Linked DNA regions of Ovis aries. The protein of the gene in region 1 purifies or fractionates together with the protein of each later gene. This does not show direct contact. Links are inferred from orthologs where the notes say so. Each region holds a gene or a part of one and is shown on either strand. Other genes may lie near its edges.

Region 1 (6,501 bases):
TTTTGATAATGTTTCATTCAGGAGTGGACCAAAGCTTGTATCATGTAAGCCAAGCTGTGTCTTATCAGAGAATCACTGTTGACGTTTCTGTTTGGTGATCATCTGTTTGAACAGACACTGTGAAGGAATAATGATGGCAAAGCATGTTATATTTGCAGTGCTATTCAGTTGTAGACTATTTTGGATAGTTTCAAGGCTGGAATTTGAACCTATGTTTTTCTGTTTACAAAGAAGGCTACATGCTCAATCACTATTCTATACAATTTCACTATTGAATACAGTTTCACTTAAATCTAACTTTGCTTCACAGTTCTTTTTAAACCCACCTTATGATTCTACTATTAAATATTTAGCTTTATACAAAGCATTTTGTAAAGAACTAAAGGCTATAATGGGAAAGAAGAGAAGCTATTTTTTTTTGTCATTAAATAATTGTTTAAAAAAGGTTTTTAACCTCTCCTAATTTATCTGCTATATAGAATTCTGTATTATTTTTCTCTATAGGAATAAAAGGATGAAATAGTTTATGCAGAGTTCTTTGAACCCATAAAAATTGTATGTACATTTTTTAATATAGAAAAATAAATTCATTTTCCCTTTTTCTTCTTTGGAAGCAGCTTACATGTTTTCAGTAATTGAGTAAGCTATGGTCCTTACTTGCTTAAGTATCTTATTAGTTTTGCTGAAGTGAAGTCGCTCAGTCATGTCCGACTCATTGTGACCCAATGGACTGTAGCCTACTGGGCTCCTCTGTCCATGGGATTTTCCAGGCAAGAATACTGGAGTGGGTTGCCATTTCTTTCTCCAGGGGAACTTCCCAACCCAGGGATCTAACCTGGGTCTCCCGCATTGTAGGCAGACGCTTTACTGTCTGAGCCACAGTAGTTGGTAACTATTGAATGCCCAGATGCTGTGTTTTTTATAGGAAGTTGAAGCTATCACCCTGGAGCTGGAGGAGCTCAAGAGAGAGCATGCATCCTATGAACAACAGCTTGAAGCTGTAAAGGAAGCTATCATATCCTACGAGGGTCAGATTGCAGTAATGGCCTCTGAGGTGGCTAAAAATGAGGTGAGAGTGATTTAACCACATTAGAGAAATACAGATATCAGTCTGCTTCTGAAATGGTGGCTTAAAGATGTTTGACTTCAGAGGTCTCAGTCTCTTCACCCCTGTCATGATGAGAGGGAAAATGATGACTACCAATCAGAAAGAGTCCTGAAATAATATCACTAATTGTTTTAGTCCAGGTCTATTGGAAAATGAAAACACCCAGTAATTTGACCAGGCCGAGTTTAAATAAAAATTATTAACTATAACAGGAATTTGGAATGATGTATGACTGGATTGCTAAGGGGTAGAGAAAACTCTAAAGAATGAATAGCAGATATAGGAGCAGTTATTACCTATAAGCTGAAGCAGTGCACCCCCAGAAGGAACAAATCTGGAAAAGAGCCCCATTCTACCTGCAAGGCTGATAACTACATGTAGTTGGAAAACACATTATTGTGGCCCTCTGGTGGTGGGGTTTGGTGTAGTAGGGAAACCATGCTGAGCAAAGTGCTGCACAGGACATCTGCTGGGAAAACAGCTTTCTGGGACACCAGGGGGACTGGCCACAGGGAGGTGCCCAGCCTGTGAACAGGCTGCAAAGACTGCTGCTGGGTATGCCATGTAAGTGACAACCTTGCCTTTGAGAAAAGCACATCAGAACCAAGAAGTGAAGCCCCTTCCTTCTCCAGTGTCCCTAAAGCATCCTTTACTGATGAGGCTTCATATTGTTACACTCGGCAAGGGAGAGTTGTTCCCATCTCAGAAGCAGGCAGTGAAGGGTGGATTTGGGGTACGAGGTTTCATGTTGTGAAGATATTTCTATTTCCTGCAAATATTAGAAATGCTCCCTCATGAATATTGGATACCCTCTTGACCCTTTCTTTGATTTTGACCTTGAATTCTGTTTTGTTTCATTATTTCTACTCATACTTTTTAAAACTCAGATTTAATTGGCATAACATTTATATTGGTTTCAGGTGTACAATATAATGGTTCAACATTTTAATATATTGTGAAATGATCACCCCATAGCAGGTTTTTTTCTTGTGATGAGAACTTTTTAAGATGTGCTGTCTTAGCAACTTTGAAATACATAGTAGTAGTTATTATTACTACTGTCACCATGCCCTACAAAGTGTAACCACCTTTGGTTTTTTGATACACCTTTTTGTTGTTGTTGTTAGTTTTCTGTTCTGTTGCAGTTATGTACTTTTTGTAGGTCATGTTAACTAAAATGTAATAGCTTCTAACAGGGGCATTCCATCCATTTACCTAGGATATAGTAAAGTGTGTTTTTTTTGCCTTTTGTCCTCTACTTTTACATTTCCTGTTACATTTTTTCCTTGAGATGATTGTTTTAATTGCTGTAGTGTGCATTGTTTTAGAAAGTAGTTCTTTTCTCTTCTATTTGTGGTTAAACTCAAGGGTTTTTTTTAACACATTATCAAATCAATAGCAGAACAATTTTTTAACTATCTTTTTGAATCAGGGTTCAAAATGCTTTTCAGCTTTGTGTTTTGTCTTGCTGATTACCTTTTCTACAGTTTCTTTTCTGCCTTCTGACTTGCCTTTTTGTCTCATTCCTCCATATCTTCTACCATCTTTCATGGACGTCATGTTGTGGAATTTTTTTTAAAATTAGATGTCATATTTTTAAAGAGAAATGTGGAAGTAAAATAAGTCACTTCTTCCTTGATCTAAATAATGATAAAATCAAAAGCATATACATATTTCGATAAAGAGAATATCTATTTTTCTATGGAAAACTATAAAATGTATCTCTAAGTTTGTAAATGTTGTTCTTTTAGTCTCTATATTCTAAATTGTTTCTGTTTGCCCTCTTAGGGAGCTAAGAAGATAAATTGCCTTCAAATTAATTATGTTCAAACGAAACTAAAAACTTTGGCTCAATCTGAAGTGATAGATATCCTTGTTTTTCTCTTAACCATTGTAGATTGAAACAGTTACACCTATGACACCATCTTCAGTCTTTAGGTGTGAGAGAATCAGCTTAATAAACATGTTTTTGTCATGCGCTTTTGTTTTGGATTTTTTAGATGAATGCTGAGATTTAACTTCCTCCTGCAAAGGACCTTTTATGACACAAACATTATAAAGAAATTACTTATGTCATGTTCAATAACTTAACCATAATGTCAGGTATTGTTTATCGCTCAAAATTATCTTGTTTTCTAATGAGCATGCCTTAAAAAATTCCTAAATTTTTACTGACGCTTATCGTCACTTCAAGATATCTATTCTTCCTCAGTCTTTTAGCAAGTTGTTCTACTCTTTGTTTTTCCCTACCTAAATCTGAATTGAGCTAGGTTCTTTTTTTTCAGATGTTTGTGTGAGTTTGTGACCATATCTTTACCAGAAAGACCTTTAAGATCTAGCAAAGAACTTTCATGGGGAGGAGGTGAGAGTTGGTAGACTAAATCCCAGCTGTAATTTTCACTTCGGAGACAAACCGATGATACTAAAAGAGTGAGAAGTTTTTCTTTGTGCCACAGATATGTTTCTTCAAAAAGTTTCTCTTCCTCTTCCATATCTCTGTTTTAACCCCTGTGCTAGAACTAAACACCCTGACCTTTTGTTGCCACTGTCAGAGGCCTTATGGCTTACTTCTGTAGAAGGGAAAGGAACCAATGCCAGCTTACCTTACTTCCACCTCCATTCTTTGCCTTCATAATAAATGGCATTTGGGGGTCTGTCATATTATTTTGTAACCACCACCAGAATCCCACTCTTTTGAGAGACCGTACAGGGCAAATCCCAGTAACCCCTCCTCCACCTAGGTGATCCCAGTTTTACTGTGTCACAGGAACTTTGTTGCTTCCAGCATGAACAATGCATCGCATCCCTTTTTCCGTAGTGGTAATACAAGTTTTATTTGTAAATGTGTTAGTCATTTTCATGGGGATATAAAATGTAGAAGGTTAGATGACACATTGCCTGTGTCACATAGAAGTCTGTTGGATGATCTTTCAGTAAACCAAAAAATGTCTCCATCTTACCTTGCTGTATGTTATCTTGTAATTATTCATTGCAGGAGTTAGTAAACAAAGCTCAGGAAGAGGTGACCAAGCAAAAAGAAGTGATAACAGCCCAAGACAACATAATTAAAGCTAAATATGCAGAAGTAGCAAAACACAAGGAGCAAAACAATGACTCTCAGCTTAAAATTAAGGAACTGGACCATAACATCAGCAAACATAAACGGGAAGCTGAAGATGCTGCTGCAAAGGCATGTTTGTATTGTTCACTTTTATTTTTAATCAAATTTTTGCCTCTGGGTTTTTGAAATGTTCTGGTAAAGTGCTCAGTGAAGAACTTAACTGTAAATGGCAGAACTACTGTGTAACAATTTTGAGGCATGCAACTATGACTGCTTCTCAGCAGTCACCAAATGGCAAAAATGTTTTATTTTTAAATTTAATCTCAGGGGCTTTATTCCCATCTCCAAGATGTTTTTAACCAAATATTGAATGGCCTCCCATGGAAATGACTGTTTTTTTTAATCCCCAGTTGTTCATAGAACTAATTACTAATGTATTAATAGTAGTAATATGTATTCTTTACCTAATTGCAAATTGAATTTAGGGAACTCACAGAGAAGTATCCACAAGGTACTTCTGAAGTAAGGACTTAGTTGGTTTAGGATATCCTTATGAGGGTTAGTATAGTCAATGTTCGAAGTCTCATTTGAAATCTGACATTTTGCCAGGCAGTGTCTTTGAAGTTATCCCACAGTTTATTGGTCACTCTTAATTAAAATTTCTTTCATGTATCACAGTAACCTAAGTACTTTAAAGAAAATACATAGTTTTGCAGGAATTCATTGCTTAGTTAGGAGGCTTCATTTATGTGGTTTTAATAATTCACTCATCATGTTTTCTTACTGGTGTGTAACAGTTTGGTGCCTTTTAAATCTTTTTTAGCATCATAAAAGTACAAGAGATTTAATTTCAAAAAGATGAGAACATACAAAACAGTCTTCCACCCTTTTCTGCAAGAGCCATGATTGCCTGTTCAGGTTCATTACTTTGTTTAAAAAGCATTTTTTTAATGACCACATGATAATATCCTAATATTTTATTAGTATTGATTTCCCATTTGCCTAGTAGCCTAGTATTAGTGGATTCACTGAACTATTACCAATGCTAATATTACTGTTAATAGGTTTTTTTAAAAATATAATTGACAATACTAGTATTGGTGGTTGCTAGGGGATTCTATTTACAGTTAAGTGAAGAGGGTACAAAGAGCGACTTGCAAGCAGAACTGCTAAAAAGTCAAGTATTCTTTAAAATACATAGTTTATCAAATATTTATTGTATACTTGTACCAGGCACTGACTTCCCTGGTGGTGCAGATGGTAAAGTATCTGCCTACAATGCAGGAGACCTGGGTTTGATCCCTGGGTCGGGAAGATCCCCTGGAGAAAGAAATGGCAACCCACTCCAGTACTCTTGCCTGGAAAATCCCATGGATGGAGGAGCCTGGTAGGCTACAGTCCATGGGGTCGCAAAGAGTCGGACACAACTGAGTGACTTCACTTTCACTTTACCAGGCACTAAAGATACAAGAATGAGCAACATGCCACAGAATGTGTTCATGGTGCTCACAGATGAGCAGGAAAAAAAGATAGACTAGAAATGACCATATTACTTTGAAGTCTGGTGGTGTGACTGTACTCATGGGATTAATAAGGATGATTGACAAGGATTAGCTTTCAGCAGTCAGTACCAATCTTAAACAGTTATAGTAGAAGAAAGTCTTCTTAAGCACTATAATTAAAAATCCTTAATGGTTATATTACATGAGTATTTTACTGTGCCTTGTCAATGAGGGTAGCAAGGGGATGGAGTCAATATTTAAGATAATGTTTTACTTAGATTATAATTTCAAGAATTATTAGGTACCAATCACGATTAGGCTTTCATGATTTTACAGTATCTATGACTTAAATATTCATATAAGACTAAACTTTCACAAGTTGTTTTTTTGAAGTAATACGTTGAATTTGGTAAAATCTGGAGCCTCATCTCATTATAATGGCAATGTTTACACACATACACACACCCGCATACACTTAACTGTTTCTCTGAGTTCACATTTATTTTGATGCTTAAGTAATATCTTTTTCTATTTTTTGTAGCCTATCCTCTAGATAAAAATATTCATACTTCTTACAGGTTCACAGTCAACAATGAGTCTCATTTTTTTTTCAAATGAGTCATTGTGGGATTTTCCTAAAAAATGTTTGTAAAAATTAGTAAATACTTAAGAAACTAATTTTTAAATATAGGTTTATGAGCAATGATATCATTCTATTATCATCTTTTGGCTAGGTATCCAAAATGTTGAAAGACTATGACTGGATTACTGTAGAAAAACACCTCTTTGGGCAACCCAATAGCACCTATGATTTCAAAGCTAACAACCCA
Region 2 (6,501 bases), on another chromosome or scaffold:
CTGAAACAAAGAAAACAATGCGATTACTTAATGACACATCTTAATCCATTATAGAAAGACAAAGAATGGCCAAGATTCATCAGTGCCGTTCAGTCCAGTCGCTCAGTCGTGTCCGACTCTCTGCGACCCCAAAAATCGCAGCACGCCAGGCCTCCCTGTCCATCACCATCTCCCGGAGTTCACTCAGACTCACGTCCGTCGAGTCCGTGATGCCATCCAGCCATCTCATCCTCGGTCGTCCCCTTCTCCTCCTGCCCCCAATCCCTCCCAGCATCAGGGTCTTTTCCAATGAGTCCCCTCTTCTCATGAGGTGGCCAAAGTACTGGAGTTCCAGCTTTTGCATCATTCCTTCCAAAGAAATCCCAGGGCTGATCTCCTTCAGAATGGACTGGTTGGATCTCCTTGCAGTCCAAGGGACTCTCAAGAGTCTTCTCCAACACCACAGTTCAAAAGCATCAATTCTTCGGCGCTCAGTCTTCTTCACAGTCCAACTCTCACATCCATACATGACCACAGGAAAAACCACAGCCTTGACTAGATGGACCCTAGTCGGCAAAGTAACGTCTCTGCTTTTGAATATGCTATCTAGGCTGGTCATAACTTTCCTTCCAAGGAGTAAGCATCTTTTAATTTCATGGCTGCAGTCACCATCTGTAGTGATTTTTGAGCCCCCCAAAATAAAGTCTGACACTGTTTCCCCATTATTTCCCATGCAGTGATGGGACCAGATGCCATGATCTCATGCCTGAATGTTGAGCTTTAAGCCAACTTTTTCACTCTCCTCTATCACTTTCATCAAGAGGCTTTTTAGTTCCTCTTCACTTTCTGCCATAAGGGTGGTGTCATCTGCATATCTAAGGTTATTGCTATTTCTCCTGGCAATCTTGATTCCAGCTTGTGTTTCTTCCAGCCCAACATTTCTCATGATGCACTCTGCATATAAGTTAAATAAGCAGGGTGACAATATACAGCCTTGACATACTCCTTTTCCTATTTGGAACCAGTCTGTTGTTCCATGTCCAGTTCTATCTGTTGCTTCCTGACCTGCATATAGGTTTCTGAAGAGTCAGGTCAGGTGGTCTGGTATTCCCATCTCTTTCAGAATTTTCCACAGTTTCTTGTGATCCACACAGTCAAAGGCTTTGGCATAGACAATAAAGCAGAAATAGATGTTTTCTGGAACTCCCTTGCTTTTTCCATGATCCAGTGGATGTTGGCAATTTGATCTCTGGTTCCTCTGCCTTTTCTAAAACCAGCTTGAACATCAGGAAGTTCGCAGTTCACGTATTGCTGAAGCCTGGCTTGGAGAATTTTGAGCATTCCTTTACTAGCATGTGAGATGAGTGCAATTGTGTAGTAGTTTGGGCATTCTTTGCCATTGCCTTTCTTTGGGATTGGAATGAAAACTGACCTTTCCCAGTCCTGTGGCCACTGCTGAGTTTTCCAAATTTGCTGGCATATTGAGTGTAGCACTTTCACAGCATCATCTTTCAGGATTTGAATTAGCTCAACTGGAATTCCATCACCTCCACTAGCTTTGTTCGTAGTGATGCTTTCTAAGGCCCACTTGACTTCACATTCCAGGATGTCTGGCTCTAGCAGAGTGATCACACCATCGTGATTACCTTGGTTGTAAAGCTCTTTTGTACAGTTCTTCTGTGTATTCTTGTCACCTCTTCTTAGTATCTTCTGCTTCTGTTAGGTCCAGACCATTTCTGTCCATTATCGAGCCTATCTTTGCATGAAATGTTCCCTTGGTATCTCTAAATTTTCTTGAAGAGATCTCTAGTCTTTCCCATTCTGTTATTTTCCTCTATTTCCCCACACTGATCACTGAGGAACGCTTTCTTATCTCTTCTTGCTATTCTTTGGAACTCTGCATTCAGATGCTTATATCTTTCCTTTTTTCCTTTGCTTTTCACTTCTCTTCTTTTCACAGCTATTTGTAAGGCCTCCTTGACAGCCATTTTTTGTTTTTTGCATTTCTTTTCCATGGGGATGGTCTTGATCCCTGTCTCCTATACAATGTCATGAATCTCCATCCATAGTTCATCAGGCACTCTATCTATCAGATCTAGTCCCCTAAATCTATTTCTTACTTCCACTGTATAATCATAAGGGATGTGATTTAGGTCATACCTGAATGGCCTAGTGGTTTTCCCTACTTTCTTCAATTTAAGTCTGAATTTGGCAATAAAGAGTTCAGGATCTGAGCCACACTCAGCTCCCTGACTGTATAGAGCTTCTCCATCTTTGGCTGCAAAGAATATAATCAATCTGATTTCGGTGTTGACCATCTGGTGATGTCCATGTGTAGAGTCTTCTCTTGTGTTGTTGGAGGAGGGTGTTTGCTATGACCAGTGTGTCCTCTAGGCAAAACTTTATTAGCCTTTGCCCTGCTTCATTCCATACTCCAAGGCCAAATTTGCCTGTTACTCCAGGTGTTTCTTGACTTTCTACTTTTGCATCCCAGTCCCCTATAATGAAAAGGACATCTTTTTTGGGTGTTAGTTCTAAAAGGTCTTGTAGGTCTTCATAGAACCATTCAACTTCAGCTTCTTCAGCATTACTGGTTGGGGCATAGACTTGGATTACTGTGATATTGAATGGTTTGCCTTGGAAATGAACAGAGATCATTCTGTCATTTTTGAGATTGCATCCAAGTACTGCATTTTGGACTCTTTTGTTGACCATGATGGCTACTCCATTTCTTCTAAGGGATTCCTGCCTACAGTAGTAGATATAATGGTCATCTGAGTTAAATTCACCCATTCCAGTCCATTTTAGTTTGCTGATTCCTAGAATGTCGACGTTCACTCTTGCCATCTTGTTTGACCACTTCCAATTTGCCTTGATTCATGGACCTGATATTCCAGGTTCCTATGCAATATTGCTCTTTACAGCATCAGACTTTGCTTCTATCACCAGTCACATCCACAGCTGGGTATTGTTTTTGGTTTGGCTCCATCCCTTCATTCTTTCTGGAGTTATTTCTCCACTGATCTCCAGTAGCGTGTTGGGCACCTACCAACCCGGGGAGCTTCCCTTTCAGTATCCTATCATTTTGCCTTTTCATACTGTTCATGGGGTTTTCAAGGCAAGAATACTGAAGTGGTTTGCCATTCCCTTCTCCAGTGGACCACATTCTGTCAGATTCATCAACCACCATGAATTCCAGATTTCAGAGAACGGGAAATACCACGTTTCAGTCACATGGGATGATTAAAGTCTTCCCACACTCTTCACCGTAAGCATGACCAGTCATACAGGTGGGACACTAAAATCAGATGCCGCTGCTAGTAAGAGAACAGAGATGTTCTGGTAAGTGAATGAAGCCCTCTGCGTACTTATAATATCACAAGAAAGACATAATGTGCTATTGAAAGATAATCCACAGCTGTTGAAATGATGCTTTTGGAGTCTGCAGCAAACATACCCACCGTGGAAGGTCCGCAGGCATCAGCCCTCCGCAGGGCTCTCCCTCGTGTGGCCCAGCAGTGCTGCCTGTGCACAGACAGCCTGGAGTCAGGCCAGGTGATACCCACGTGGAGAGACGAGCACGCGCCCAGTGAGAGCCACACGGAGCCTCACCAAGCACCCCCCGTCAGAAGCACTGCGGTGCACAGTAACGCTGCACCTGTTTCCCTCTGAATGAACTGGAGTTACGATAAGCAAAACCAGAGACTGTGTGGATGCGTGTTCCTTTCAGAGAGTTATGATGTCTCTTTGTGGAAGTAGGCTAAATCTTGAGAGTAAAAGGAAGAGAGCTAACGTTACTGGGGGCTTACAGCCAGAGGAGCAAGAAGACAGTAACGAGAAAGGATTACCTGACTATATGTGGAGACCTTAGTATTATTCCTATTAAGCACCTTGAAAATGGCGGAAGGGCTGAAAGGCCCTCTGGCGGGGTGAGCTCTTCCGCATCAGACACCTGAAAGAAAGTCCAGTTAGTAATGTGACCAAGACTGAGACTGGGCTGAGCACTCATTTTATGCTTCTCTGAACTTTCTTACAAACTTGAAAAAGGCTTTCCAGAAACTCAAAATGAGTATTTTTGTTAACTTCTGCAATGGCTATCATAATCATGATTCACAGTGGTATCAATCAATTGGACAGAAGAAAAAACATGTCACTTGACAAGCCCTCTGCCAAACACTCTTTGATTATCTACTTTTGTCAACAGTGTGTTTCTACACTAAGCAAATTTAACTGTTTTTCTTATTAGCCTAGATCAGGTTTTCTCAACTCAAACTTTTTCTATAAAGCAGTAAAATAGTAAATAATAGATAGTAAACATTTTAAACTTTGTGGGCAAAATGATCTCAGCCACAACTACTCAATTCTGCTGTTATAGCACAAAGCAGCCATAGGAAAAAAATGTAAATAAATGGGCCACAGTGGCCCACACGCCACTGATGGACTCACAGTTGTCAGCTGTGTGCCTTGCGGGCCTGAGTAACTTCCAGTTATTAGGCTGTGTATAGGCCAGGAATCACGCTCCTAAACCACAATGATCTCCCTTCAAGCTTTCAGGAGGGCCTGAAATTCTGTTAATGTCCTACAATTTTGTCAACTTCTTTTACATTTGTGATTTCATAATACAACATTTGTAGAAATTGTATGTTTGCATTTATATATTTCCATGGTATTTCCTGTCAATCTCTCCCTTCCATACTGAGAGAAACCCCACCGTTTACTGTCTTCAGGCGCTGCTGCACGCCCTCACACACTAGCATCAGGGCTCCAGGCCCTGACAGCGCACGCTTTATTGTGAGCTGAATCATCATCCTGGTTATGTCGGCCTTGAACCAAGCAGGCTAATCATATGAAACAGGCTCCTGCCAGGATCTGGCCAGTCCTTTATGGACTAGGAGCAAACTATCTGTCTAAACTGATATTACAGATTCAAACTTCCTGTGCTTAAAAGAAAAAGTAACGCTTATGTATCGCACAGCAGTCAGAGATGTGAGCTGCTCCAGAAACAGCACCAGGGCAGTCTCACACCCTGCTCACCGCCAAGCACGGCTGTGAACACAAACCAGCCACGGAACCGTGAGGTGCAGCTATGGAAGAAGCGGACCTCCCGCGGTACCTAAGCTCTGAAAAATAGCTAGAGAAAGGCAAGAACATGCTGCCAGCAGAAAACAGCCTCTTCAGTAGCCAAAACGAGACACAGCAGCTTCGGGACAACGCACCTTCCGGAGCCAGTGGCTTATCTCAACCACAGACGCAGCGATCAGGGTGGAGAACACGCCCCGGTGAACAGGCGTGTCCACGTGCCAGGACTGCACAGTGCTGATGAATTCATGCAGGGGAGTCTGAACAGAGCAAAGGAGCTACGAGAAACACATCAGCCACCGTGAGTCCTGAACAGTCTCCATCAGGGACGCAGCCTCCTCCTGTCTCCGCGGGGCCGAGGCCCGTCCCACCTGACGCCCCTGCTGCCCATGCCCTCCTCTCTGGTGCTGGAGACGACACACAACCCCAAGGGCCCGGGCAGTACCTTAAACACACTCTACCCCAGAGCAGAGAAAAACTCTGAGAACAGGAGCATCAGCAACATTAATAAAGTTCTCAAAACGAAAGAGGAAGAAATATCACTGACATTAAGGGAAGACACCCACTATGAGGCCATGTGTTCTGAACAAAGCTGCACAGCCAATAGTGAGAAAAAAAAAATTCTGGCACAAATTACATGAACAGATCACAGACACCTGAAGAAACTCCTCAAAAACAGGACTTTTTCAAATTAACTCAAATATGACCTAGGCTACAGAAAATACGGCCAATGACCTTCAATTGCCTCTACAAGCTAAAGGTGGAATAAAGTGGAAAGTGCCAATAACTCATGCACACCCTCCCACTGAAGCACTTTCTGAGTCTCCACCCCTAGCAGCTGAGTGCGCACAAGCTACTGCAGTGGGCTCTCCGCTTCTGTCCTGCTGAGCGGAAGCGCTCTTGGGCCAACGGCCCGCTGACCCGAACTGCCAACACAGTCCCCAGAGCAGCGCTCAGAGGTGGGCTCCCGGCCTCCCGGCCTCCTCCCCGGAGCATGCTGCCCCAGGGAGAGGGGGCAGCACCAGTGGAAAGGGGCACTGGGCAGCCGTCTCCTGCTGCATGGCACCTCCCCGCAACGCCGACAGCACCCACGGGCTCCAGGGCCTGCAGGCCTGGCTCCACACCCTGGGCCGCCGGCTGGGTGCTGCCCTTCCAGTTCTGGCCCTGCCAGGGGAGGAGCCCACACCTGCAAACCCTCTTCTGGCTGCCTCTTGAAGCTCCGCGCCATGCACTCCAGCATCTGCTGAAACACTTTCTGGACCATGTCAAACACCACGGCGACCTCTTCCTCTGAGTCTGTTTTCCACATCAAGGAACTTCCAGTTATCTCTTTCAGAATGCCGAGAAGCAATGAAACATAAAAGAATCCCTTCACTGGAAACAAAGTTGGGAAAATCTGTTGTTTAATCACACAATTTAGTTGAAATTATTACATTTTTCACT

The links.
Region 2: the proteins of SMC2 (region 1) and NCAPG2 purify together in Homo sapiens (affinity purification with western blotting; 4 studies listed by BioGRID and IntAct, with this or other methods). This does not show direct contact. The link is inferred for Ovis aries from reciprocal best matches to the Homo sapiens genes SMC2 and NCAPG2.

Annotation. Positions count from the first base shown.
Region 1 is NC_056055.1:18,961,434-18,967,934, reverse strand, and holds part of SMC2 (structural maintenance of chromosomes protein 2), read left to right. Parts: intron 1-925; coding exon 926-1,069; intron 1,070-4,103; coding exon 4,104-4,298; intron 4,299-6,405; coding exon 6,406-6,501. UniProt on the Homo sapiens protein: Central component of the condensin complex, a complex required for conversion of interphase chromatin into mitotic-like condense chromosomes.
Region 2 is NC_056057.1:120,931,531-120,938,031, forward strand, and holds part of NCAPG2 (condensin-2 complex subunit G2), read right to left. Parts: intron 6,433-6,501; coding exon 6,245-6,432; intron 5,337-6,244; coding exon 5,196-5,336; intron 3,932-5,195; coding exon 3,828-3,931; intron 1-3,827. UniProt on the Homo sapiens protein: Regulatory subunit of the condensin-2 complex, a complex which establishes mitotic chromosome architecture and is involved in physical rigidity of the chromatid axis.